Linked DNA regions of Oryzias latipes. The protein of the gene in region 1 purifies or fractionates together with the protein of each later gene. This does not show direct contact. Links are inferred from orthologs where the notes say so. Each region holds a gene or a part of one and is shown in the gene's direction. Other genes may lie near its edges. The genes, in order: stx5, bet1 and ykt6.

The links.
Region 2: the proteins of stx5 (region 1) and bet1 purify together in Homo sapiens (affinity purification with mass spectrometry; 3 studies listed by BioGRID and IntAct, with this or other methods). This does not show direct contact. The link is inferred for Oryzias latipes from reciprocal best matches to the Homo sapiens genes STX5 and BET1.
Region 3: the proteins of stx5 (region 1) and ykt6 purify together in Homo sapiens (affinity purification with mass spectrometry; 3 studies listed by BioGRID and IntAct, with this or other methods). This does not show direct contact. The link is inferred for Oryzias latipes from reciprocal best matches to the Homo sapiens genes STX5 and YKT6.

Annotation. Positions count from the first base shown.
Region 1 is NC_019868.2:11,891,581-11,895,231, forward strand, and holds part of stx5 (syntaxin-5), read left to right. Parts: intron 1-202; coding exon 203-273; intron 274-1,012; coding exon 1,013-1,068; intron 1,069-1,189; coding exon 1,190-1,260; intron 1,261-1,338; coding exon 1,339-1,455; intron 1,456-1,595; coding exon 1,596-1,652; intron 1,653-1,763; coding exon 1,764-1,845; intron 1,846-2,780; coding exon 2,781-2,867; intron 2,868-3,027; coding exon 3,028-3,131; intron 3,132-3,235; coding exon 3,236-3,357; intron 3,358-3,651. UniProt on the Homo sapiens protein: Mediates endoplasmic reticulum to Golgi transport.
Region 2 is NC_019869.2:10,286,713-10,290,906, reverse strand, and holds bet1 (BET1 homolog), read left to right. Parts: upstream 1-1,540; 5' UTR 1,541-1,682; coding exon 1,683-1,701; intron 1,702-1,883; coding exon 1,884-1,990; intron 1,991-2,127; coding exon 2,128-2,184; intron 2,185-2,566; coding exon 2,567-2,722; 3' UTR 2,723-3,625; downstream 3,626-4,194. Other genes in the region: probable acyl-CoA dehydrogenase 6, read right to left, coding at 3,748-3,838. UniProt on the Homo sapiens protein: Required for vesicular transport from the ER to the Golgi complex. Functions as a SNARE involved in the docking process of ER-derived vesicles with the cis-Golgi membrane.
Region 3 is NC_019867.2:5,871,995-5,876,102, forward strand, and holds the start of ykt6 (synaptobrevin homolog YKT6), read left to right. Parts: upstream 1-1,308; 5' UTR 1,309-1,428; exon of another isoform or gene 1,429-1,545; intron 1,546-1,814; 5' UTR 1,815-1,834; coding exon 1,835-1,938; intron 1,939-2,054; coding exon 2,055-2,137; intron 2,138-2,992; coding exon 2,993-3,093; intron 3,094-3,177; coding exon 3,178-3,282; intron 3,283-3,432; coding exon 3,433-3,498; intron 3,499-4,108. UniProt on the Homo sapiens protein: Vesicular soluble NSF attachment protein receptor (v-SNARE) mediating vesicle docking and fusion to a specific acceptor cellular compartment. Functions in endoplasmic reticulum to Golgi transport; as part of a SNARE complex composed of GOSR1, GOSR2 and STX5.

The DNA of each region.
Region 1 (3,651 bases):
GTCCATTAAATCAATCTCTTGATCAATGACGCACATAAAATAATACTTAGTTTGACATTGATCCCAAACTTCTATCAGCCCAATGAAATATCACTAAGTCATATCACATATATCTGTGTGATGGTGCAAGTTTTTATGCTTAGTGTCTTTGTGGTTTTTTTTAAAGTTGTACATTTTTTAAATTATCGTCTTCTCTCATCAGAATGGAGTCCAGCCCAGTAAACCAGCTCTTGCCGCCCTGAGGCAGCGCAGTGACTTCACAGTGATGGCAAAGTAGGAACCTCATTGTTTGCTTTCCTTGTTTGATACAAAAGCTCATAAATTCCTTTACATGAATAGTATTTAATGTTGATGTTTAATATCTGTAACCGTTGGACAATATGTTGTCTTTTTTTTACAGTTATATATTATTTATTTAAAAAAAAAGACTTTTACAGTGATGTGTAGTTGTTTTAAGAAGTTGGACATTTGTCCTCACAGCTATACTAACAGTAAAAATTCTGAGCGACAATAAATCATATTAACGTACTGTTTGAACAGCAGAAATTCAAAATGTTCAAAAAGGAGATTTAGGCATTTAAAAATGTATCCTTTGCTTATGTTTGACTATGCAATGTTCAAATCCACAGATAATTTCAATATTAAGGCTTGGTAGTTGCATTGGAGCTTATTTTTGGATCTCCGCCTTCTTTTGTTTTATCAAGTCAGCCTTAAAGTCCCTCTCCAATCATGTTTTGATCTCTTGTAAAAGCGTTTCCAGTGGTTTTTTAATTATGATGCATTGTTTTCTAAGACATAGTTTCTGCAGTGCGGCAGTAGTTTATTAGAAATTTGCCTCTGAGATGTGGGCAGCTGAATAGAATAACTTGATTGTCATTTTATATGTAAAATGAATTAAATGTTTATAATGTATCTAGTTAATTATAATTAGTTGGTCCCTTAACTTTTGGAGAGAAAGAAAACTTTGTTACAACTTCAGTAAAAAACACAGCGTTTCTGTTTGTTCTTGCAGGAGAATTGGGAAAGACTTGAGCAACACTTTTGCCAAACTGGAGAAGCTCACTATTTGTAAGTTTTTATTTGTTGGCTGCACTAAATGTAATAAATATTTTGTCTGAAATAGTCAGACCATTGGTAATAAATGTATAAAAGGTCATCAGTAGTGCTGATTGTACTGCTTTGATTTTAGTGGCAAAAAGGAAATCCTTATTTGATGACAAAGCAGTGGAGATTGAAGAGCTGACGTACATCATTAAACAAGTGAGCCGAGTTGGAGTTCTTCTTCCTGTTGCTTTGGATGTGGTGAGTAACCCCAGCACCTCTGCTTGGTGTTTGCAGGACATCAACAGTCTGAACAAACAGATAGCACAGCTGCAGGACTTGGTGAGATCACGTGGAGCTCCGGGTGGCCGACACATCCAATCTCATTCTAACACTATAGTGGTGTCACTACAGGTATGTTCATGGATTGTTGAAGTCTCACACTTCATTAATCATAGTTTAGTTTTGAACCATCTGAAAGCTCTAACACATACAAATGTATTTTTTACTATAAAGAAACAAAACCTCCAATAAACTTTACATGTTGTTTGCAGTCTAAACTGGCGTCTATGTCAAATGATTTCAAGTCGGTCCTTGAGGTCAGAACAGAGGTGAGAAACCATTTTCATTTTTCAAGAAAAGTAGAAATGGAGATTTCTTACATTTGAAGTTCTTCTAAAGTCTCAGTCTAAGTTGTTGAAGCGGCTTTCCTTTGTCTGCAGAACCTGAAGCAGCAGCGCAGCAGGAGAGAACAGTTCTCCCAGCCTCCCGTCTCGACTTCTCCCATGATGGCAAACAACTTCAGTAAGTCTGCTGACGTCACACAAACATGCTGTGGCCACTTTGAACTGACTCTGCTTAACACTGTTGGTGGGAGGTGTTTCTTTGAAGCAGCAACTAATCAAGCAATAAAAATTAATAACTAAACGAAACTGATAAACTGTCTTTTAAACTAAATCCTAAAAAAAAAAAGATGACTTTAAAAATGGTTATACTTTAATAATGAACAGTCTTTTTACTAATAATTAAGTTTTTCTTTTGTATTTAAAGCAACAAATTGCTTTCCTGCTTTTATTTTTTTTTAAAAGTATGTAAAGACGGTCAGTCCCCATGGATTATTAAAGTACTAACAATTTAACTGAGTCAGGTGTTTTTCCGGGAGGAGTGTGTTTAGTCAAATCCCTCGTGTGTGTGTGTTCGTGTGTGTGTGTTTACATCATCAGGAAAATGTTTGGTTCAACTCCAAAAAAACTCAACAACTTTCTAAGCAGGTTAACACAGAAGGTGTGTGAGGTTACTAAACAGTTGATGGAGAATTTCTGGGGAACCCATACAAAAATCAGATGGTTTCAACAATGATGTGTAGATATGAACAGCTTTTCTGTTTCACTCCGGAAAATTCTTGCCCAAAATAATCCACAAAATTAATTAATGTGTAATTTTAAACTAGATATTTTGTCAGTGGATCTTGAACTACAGGGGACATCTCCAGAATATTGAAAAAAAAAGAATTTAGTGACATCTGCGCTTGTTATAAATCAATAAATGATAAATTTAGCTAAAGAAGAATTCACATTGAGCATGTTGCATACATTTGTTCTCAAAGATAGTAGTAGAAGTAGTTTTTTTTTAACTGCAAGTGTAAAAACTGCTGCTGTCTTAGAGAACTGCTCAGACTCTTTGTGAATGATTATTCCTGTATTTGGCCCTCTGTAATGTAAAAATTAAAAATATTTTAGGGAGCCGCAAAAAAGGGGCCCAGGAGCCGCACGCAGATCGTGAACCGCGCTATGACTACCAGGGCTATACAACCACAAATGTAAAAGGTATTTCCCTGGAACGTTTGACACTCTGAGCGGGTATTGATTAGTTACTGTGTGTACCTGCTGTGTTTTTCTATCTTGTGTTTTTTTTTTTCCCCCTCTGCAATTCTGAGTTTTTTTTCCAGCCTTGATGAACAGGTGTTTACCTGCTGTCCCCCTGCAGAGAGTTCGGTTCTGATGCAGGATGAGTCGCGCAGTTTGGGAGACGTGGCCATAAATATGGACTCTCAGAGCAACCCTCTGCAGCTCCAGCTCATCGATGAACAGGTAGACAGCTTAGGATGAGTCATTTTGTTTAAAAGCTTTGCAACATGCAACGTTGTATTTTTGCAGAATAATTTGATTCCCTTTTTGGCGTCTTTTCCCTCTAGGATTCGTACATCCAGAGCCGTGCAGACACCATGCAGAACATTGAGAGCACCATCGTAGAACTGGGTTCTATATTCCAGCAGCTGGCACACATGGTCAAGGAGCAAGAGGAGACTGTCCAGAGGTGGGTGTGGAATAGAAAGGGAAAAGCTGCATTATTCATTTGAAGCACTTTCTTTATTGCTGTGCATCACTCAGAGCACTTCACATGTTAAACCTCAGTTGCAGATTAGATTAATGGATTGTTATTTTATTAATGGCAGAGAACTTGTTTTATTAGGTCTTACACTGAAGACAGGCATCATACTTATATGAACAAATGATAATTAAAACTAACTAAGATAGAAAATGTGCCAAAAATAATCATATGGCAAAAAAAGAGGCATTGGGCGATAAATAAATAAATAAAAACCAATAG
Region 2 (4,194 bases), on another chromosome or scaffold:
TCTATCTATCTATCTATCTATCTAATCTATCTATCTATCTATCTATCTATCTATCTATCTATCTATCTATCTATCTATCTATCTATCTATCTATCTATCTATCTATCTATCTATCTATCTATCTATCTATCTATCTATCTATCTATCTATCTATCTATCTATCTATCTATCTATCTATCTATCTATCTATCTATCTATCTATCTATCTATCTATCTATCTATCTATCTATCTATCTATCTATCTATCTATCTATCTATCTATCTATCTATCTATCTATCTATCTATCTATCTATCTATCTATCTATCTATCTATCTATCTATCTATCTATCTATCTATCTATCTATCTATCTATTCTATCTATCTATCTATCTATCTATCTATCTATCTATCTATCTATCTATCTATCTATCTATCTATCTATCTATCTATCTATCTATCTATCTATCTATCTATCTATCTATCTATCTATCTATCTATCTATCTATCTTATCTATCTATCTATCTATCTATCTATCTATCTATCTATCTATCTATCTATCTATCTATCTATCTATCTATCTATCTATCTATCTATCTATCTATCTAAGATAGCACAAGGGTTAAAGATAGGGTGAGGAGCTCGGTCACCTGCAGAGAGCTCGGAGTAGAACCGCTGCTCCTCCACATTGTGAGGAGCCAGTTGATGTGGCTCAAGCATCTGGTCCAGATGCAATGGTCACCTCCCTTGGGAGGTGTTCCTTGCATGTCCCACTGGGCAACAAAAATGGCGAGCAATACTGGAGCTATCCAGTTGTCCAGTTTTGATCCAGATGCCAGATCAGACAAGTAAAACAAAGACATACATGAATCCAGTCGACAACAAGTGGATCCATCAGAACTCAGCAGGGAGGTAGGTGCCAGTATTTTTGTCTGCTCCTGATTAACAACAATTGGAATAAAGAAACACTCAGAAACCCAATTTGAAGCCTAAATATCTTAATTAATGTTCGCCATCTTCCAACAAATGCCACAAGAACATGTTAAAACACTAAAAACACAATCTTCATCTGAGTGGGGTTTTAAATGGTGATTCTCTTGAACAATTTTCAAATAAAAGATGAGAAAAAGAACAACATTTTCTTTCTGAAGGCACAGTGACTTTATTCTGATTAGAAAACAGACAATGCAAATAAAGAAAAGTATTAAAGAAATAGCAACAGCAGAATTGCAGCTACAAACATGGTGTTTTAAGAGTGACATAATACTTAAATCCTGTTTCATGTGCGATGATTGGGTCTCGTAATTTAGAATTAAAAGAAGAAAGAAACACAATAGCAAAAATCTGGATTATTTATTCAGTAACAATGTAATTTTAGAAACTACAAAAACAATAAAAATAATAATATTAATTTGTCAAAAGATTATATTATTCAATATACCTTTTCAAAATGTGGAATAATATTTGGGTATTTAGTACCCAAAGGGATAAACGTACACTATTTTAGGAATCATTTACTTGATTTTTTTTTGTGGATTTTTTTTAGCTTTTACATTATTACATAGGATTTGTCCTTCTCGGCCACCGTATGATGTCGTGGCGTTTCCCTATGTGTAGAGACTAGACCTCTGATTATTTTTAAACTTTTCATTGTTTAATTCTTCGGAATATACTGTGGACATTTTCGGCTTCAGTGAGTAAGGATGAGACGCGCTGGTTTGGGTAAGAAACGAGTCTAAAACTGGGAAGTTTCAGATCGCTAGCCAGCTAACATGGTAGCTAGCATTAGCTAATGTTGTTTTCACTGGTGGATGGATGCAACACTCTGAGGCGTAGTTACATTTTTAATAAGGCTCTTGGCTTTATTCTCAGCATTTAATATTGTTTTTTGTTGTCTTGTGTAGGTGAAGGAGGCTCCGGGAATTATGTGGCGAGTGGCTACAGTGTTTATGAGGAGGAAAATGATCATTTACAGGAGGGACTGAGAGCTAAAGTCAGCGCCTTGAAAAGTGTAAGACCAGCTGCGACACAAAACTGTGCCTTCGTCTGTCACTATTCACTTGTTTCTGTTACCAATTTCTAGTTTTAAAAGCTATTTTACAAGTTTTACTTATCTAACAATCAATTCCTGTCTCTTGTCATTCCCAGCTGACTATTGATATTGGAACAGAGGTTAAATACCAGAATAAGATGTTGGAAGATATGGTGGGTTTCTCTTTGTATTTAAATGGCAAAGAAGTACCTTTACAGTTACTCTAAAGTCCTCACTCCTATGAAAAATGGTTTTAACATGTTCTTGTAGCAGCTTTCTCATGATGTATGGCATAAAAAGAAACAAAGATTAAACTTGTGTTTCTGAGTATTTCTTTATTCAAATTGTTTTAAATCGGGAGCAGACAAAAAATAAATCAAGCTTGAAAAAGAGTTTATTTTTGCTGTAGAAAATTGATTCTGGCTAAAAACAGCAGAATCATAATTAAAAGACAGAGGGACAATAGCTCAAAGAGTGGGATTTTAATAGTACCGACTTAGTAAACATTTTCTTGGATTTGAAGCGGTTCCTGATCCCCCCCTCATCTCTTCACAGGACTCGGACTTTGATTCTACAGGCGGACTGTTGGGAGCCACCATTGGCAGAGTAAAGCAGCTGTCCAGAGGGAGCCAGACCAAACTGCTCTGCTACATGCTGCTCTTCTGCCTTTTTGTCTTCTTTGTCCTCTACTGGTTCATCAAGCTGAGGTGATAAGAGCATCTTGTTGGACTTTGCCCCTTAGCTCCACGTCTTCATTCCCATTCACTAGCAGCTCTGACCTAAAAAAACACTTGTTCAATTGGTTAGGTGGGGATTTTTTTCTTTCGAGCATCATTTTGTTTCCTGATGTCCCCTAAATGAGCCATGAAAGGGCTTGAAATAGAAAATAGACAAGAAATAAACTTTGAAAGTGTTCATCTTTAACAAGGCAAATGACCCAGGAAAGCACCTTGTATACCATTTGTATACCTAACACATTAGTATTTGTGTTGCACAGCTACAGCTCAGTTATGATTAAACAAACAGGATCCACAGTCCAAGATACAACAGCTGCTGATGAGTTATTTTTTGTAAATGAGGTTAAGGTGGTTTGAGCTGTGGAATAATTAAACACAATTTGGTGTACTTATGTCAAGGAGGGAGTTGATATGGACAGGTTTGAACACAAGTACGGTAATTACAACTCATGTTGATGAGTTTTGGACAGCCAAATGAATTAAAGGCTGCCGATAGTCCTAAAAACCTAAAATCACAACTAAACAATTCAGTCTTAAATGCTGCCAGAGCAAAGTTTCCATAATAAAACACAATTTCAACATTGTTTTTTGCTATTTTAATTCTTCTGCCACTGATTTACAAACTATGAGCATAAACATTTGTTATACAAAATTATGTCAATCTTATTTCAACTGTTCAGTCCCATAAATGTGGACACACACAGTGCAGCACATAAGGGACACGTCTGTATTACATCACCTGACATTGTAAATCACCACAGAGACCTTCATTCTTGAGTAAAAATGTAAATAAAAACAGATTTTATGGCATCGTTTGTGTTTCCATGCTGGATGTGTTCAAAGCGTTTAACATAACTTCATCAATAAAAGAAGCAAACAATTACAAGAGATTTCCAAACTAATTTTTTTTTTACAAATATCTGAACAGGTCAGGATGGTTTAAAATTGCACTCTTGTATTAATTATCATCGTCTGAGCAGGAATCTGCTGCAAATGACATCACTTCCGGGGTAAAGTGTCCATGAACTTGCAGATTATTCCCAGCATCACCTCATCAGCCCCGGCGCCGATGGACAATAACCTGGAATCCCTGGAGGAGAGAGAAAAAAAGCAACAACACACTTCTGTAATTAACTGTCACTCAGGTGCTCATAAGTCCAGTCTTTGCATGAAAGTTCAACTTCAAGTCTCTAGTCTGTCAAACTTTAAATTAAACCGCAAATCTTAAGACTTGCAGTAAAAAAAATGAACATTTATTTGGTAATTAACTAGTAACCCTTGTGCTATTCTAGGCACTTTAATATTGGGAGTTGGGTCATCTAGACCCACTAGACAGTGCTCTGAACCTTTTTTCTTCAATGATTTGTGATCTTCACTGGTGTCCATGGATTAAATGAAATCTTTCCACCTTTGTCGTGGTAGGGAGAACACGTCAAAGTAAGGGTG
Region 3 (4,108 bases), on another chromosome or scaffold:
CAAAATTAATAAATAAAAAAGTCAAGTTAGAAAGTTTTCAGATAAATCCTCGCTTTGGCTGTTAACAACAAAAAAAGGTTAAATGACAAAAAAAAAAGCATCCAGCGTCTCGGTGAAAACGTTGCTGTATCTCAACAAAACCAAAAGCAATTCCACGAAGGACAAATCATTTCCTCCCTTGGTGCGACTGGTCCAACAGATGCGCCTTTATCATTTTGGGTTGCTTTGGAAACCTGTAACAGGCGTGCCTCTCACACGAAAAACACTTACTTACACCGAGTTAAGTGGACAGGAGGAAATTGTTAAATGGAGCAAAATTACAAGAGAAAACATCAATTGAGGGTGCCAAGTCTTTAGTGGACTAATCGACATTTTCACCTCCCACCTCCAAAAAAAGAACCTTCAGACATAAGTCTGTATGGGTTCATGAAAAAATCGTCTAATAACTCGATGCGGGAAGGGTGACCCAATTAAAAACTGTATTTGACGTTTGTTAAAAGTACAGAGCAGGGAGTACAGTTGGTAAAGGTTTTGTAATTTTTAAAATAAAATACTAGTCATTGTAAGTAAACGTTGCTACCCAACACCATTTATATAACAACCATCAATAATAAAACACATAGGACACATTTTTAAACATTTTTTGTAATTTATTTAACTAAGCATCACTGATATGTACTAAATATGGGGCAGTCGTGGTGCAGTGATAGGGCGGTCGACCTCTGATAGGAATATTACGGGTTCAATTCCCACCTTGCCCACCCATGTGTCGAAGTGTCCTTGGGCAAGACACTGAACCCCACCTTGCCTCTGGTGGAAGGTTGGCGCCAGTGTTCAGCAGCAGAGTTGCCACCAGTGTGTGAAACTGTGTGTGAATGGGACTGTGACTGTAAAGCGCCTTAGGCCTTCGAAGATGGTAGAAAAGCGCTATATAAGTTTATGCCATTTACCTACTAAAACATGAGACCCTTTGACATCTAGAGGTAAACTAACCAGTTATTCTAAAAAAATGTTTTAACTTTATTTACAGTGAATCCATTTTATTATTGAGTATATGATGGGGGGGGGGTTATACATGTGAAGTACAAAAACATGAAAAAGAGGAATGTTGAGCTGAATATCCATGTTACCTTGCATGCTGCCTGACGTCTAGTATTACTACTTTCTTTATTAATGTAATTATGAAATAGCTATTGTTTATTTATCAAATGTACTGGTGACTCTGATGAGTGAGAGATTTTTAAATACATTTTTAACAGTTCACCGGTACCTTAAAAAGACACCTCTACAATGTTCCTCGCATGAGAGCGGAACGATGAATACAGCGGTTCGTGTTTCTTCCGAGCTACTACACCGTAGGACCGCGTTGGGGCAGTGACGTGGTGGCTGATTACTAAAGTACATCTTGGACAGTTGACGCTAATTAAGGTGTGGTTCGGTTATCTGAGCCGTTCGCAACTCACCATCAAGCTTTAATTAATTTGAAACAAGTGATTCTATTTGCTTTTTTGACCGGAAATTTATCGCTCACTGCTGATTTGCCTGGTAAGTTGTCTCGGGCCTCAACCAAACTAGTTAGCATGTTTGGCTAACTTCTTCTGCCGGGTTTCAGGAATGTAATCGAAAGTAAAATTGATGTACGAATATCTGTCTGATTGATTTCATGTAACATCCACATGATTGTTTTTTTAACTAGCTGGTAATTGTTAGTGGCAGACAGTATTTTCACTCTTGAAGGAAGTTGGCCCCCTCTCTTGGCCATCCAAGTTGTGTTGGATATTTGGATAATGCTTACTTCTTGTCCTTTTAATCAGATTTGATCCGAGGGATAAAAATGAAACTCTATAGCCTGAGTGTCCTCTACAAAGGAGCGACCAAATCAAATCTGTTGAAAGCGGCCTTTGATCTGTCCTCCTTCAGCTTCTTCCAGCGTTCCAGGTGAGTTCCACTGACCGTAACTAAAGTTTATTTTGACTGTACCGGAAGTAACGCACAGACCGCGTTTGAACTAGAGGCCTCCATGAACTTAAGCTTTGCTTTGTTGTCATCATTAGTGTGCAGGAGTTCATGACCTTTACCAGTGCCTTAATTGTTGAGCGAACGTCACAAGGGACCCGTGCCTCTGTCAAAGAACAAGGTAACACTGAGCTGTTTTTCATTATTATACATTAATCATAGCAAATGCCTTATTGTTATCACAGTGCCTAGGAAAAACTGTCATTTTTTAAACTATAAATTGTAGTATTATAAGAAGGGAAAAAAGGAATACAAACAGAGAAGAATGTATTGTCGACCTGAAGGAGTTCATTGTCTCCAAAGTGCTTTTTATATTCCCACAAATTCATTAGTCTTTTTTATGTAGCTATAATGTAGCTAGGACTATTTTCTAATAATACCTAACAAAATGATGTTTGACAGCTAAATGTAAACTTAAAAGGAGACTTTGATACTAAATAAAAATCACAGATGTTAGTTCTGTCTTCCTAATCCACTGTTTTCTTCTTTTGATGTTTTATATCTTGTGGGGTTTGTATATTAACAGGGGTGGAACAATTGATCGTATTATCAATTTTTGTTCCTATGATCCAACCAGACCTGTCTGAGGCAAGTTGTTAATTGAATTGACCTACACACTATTCTAAAATTGTTCCAAAATATAATAAATATCAATATTAGAAAATACCATTTAGATTTTACTACAACGAAAAACCACCAAGTGCCATCTCAGCAGATGACGCACAAGTGATGGCAGCAAAAATGGATCAATCCATCATTACAGTCCAATGTGTGGAAGTTTTGCGAAGAACTTGTTCTGTCGACAGTTTTATCAGAAAGCTACATAAGATTTTAAAAATGGAAACGCATGATCTACGGATTTACACGTACCTCTTTAAGCTGAATGTTTGGCCCACTTTGAGCCTTTCCCTGTTAGAAAAGAGTTTTCATTGTTTTGGCGATTTTTATTTTAATTGTTTTTGTTTTATTTTTTTAGAGTATTTGTGCCACGTCTATGTGAGAAATGACAGCCTGGGTGCTGTGGTCATCGCAGATACAGAATACCCACAGAGGGTCTGTTTCACATTGCTTGACAAGGTAAGTACAACATACATTTTTCAAGCAATTGACTAAAGATTTTAAAACTCAAATCCTCTTGATTTCTTTTTTTGTTCTTTCTAGGTGTTAGATGAGTTCTCCAGGCAGGTGGACAGTATAGACTGGCCAACTGGTAGTCCTGAAAAAATAAACTACAAAGCCTTGGATATTCACCTGGCTAAATATCAGGTCTGCTTTGCTATACCATTGAATGTCTATTCACATATCTGAACTGGAGAAAAGGAATAGTTTATTAAGTTGTAGAGTTTACTATTAGAGAATTTTGCCAAACTTATTTTTCGAAACATGTTACTGAGCTGTTTGTTCTTTTTTCCTCAGAACCCAAGAGAAGCAGATGCGATGACTAAAGTACAAGCAGAGCTGGATGAGACAAAGATCATTCTGGTAAACTTCCCTGTCTTCAGTTTTCACTAAGTTCTGAATTCTTGTACTAAATCTACAGTTTAAAAAAAGCGAACTGGTGTTGCACAACGTGTGCGTATTGTGTATTTCTGTCCATTTGTGACAAAGTGAACTTGTTCACAGGCATTAAAATTGATTGACGACCATGATGGCGCCGATCTATATCCGTTTGAGCTATTAGCTCCAGCCTTGGTCGTAGCTAATGCCGAAGCTGACTTCAGGGGCAGTGAACCTGCAGGAATACGGTTGAATAGTCTTTCTTTGTTTAGGAAGGTTTCTAACAAAGTGAAATGACCCAGAAATGTCAACCTTGATGAAAACATGTCAAACTCTCTTAACACAGTCAATAAGCTTCAATGCTTACTTTAAATTCTTCTAGCATAGATGGACAATCCATGTGAGAAAAAAAAATACCTTTTCATATTTAGAATTCACTTTTATACGGTTATTTTATTTGAGCAGAAATATCTTTTATGAACTATAAAGTACTCTTTCTTTTTAATATTTTATTTTTCCCTACTTTTCCTTGAAGATTTGGTGTTTTCTGTCGCTGTGAAATAAAACTGTAGAAACACTAAAGCAATTTGACTTT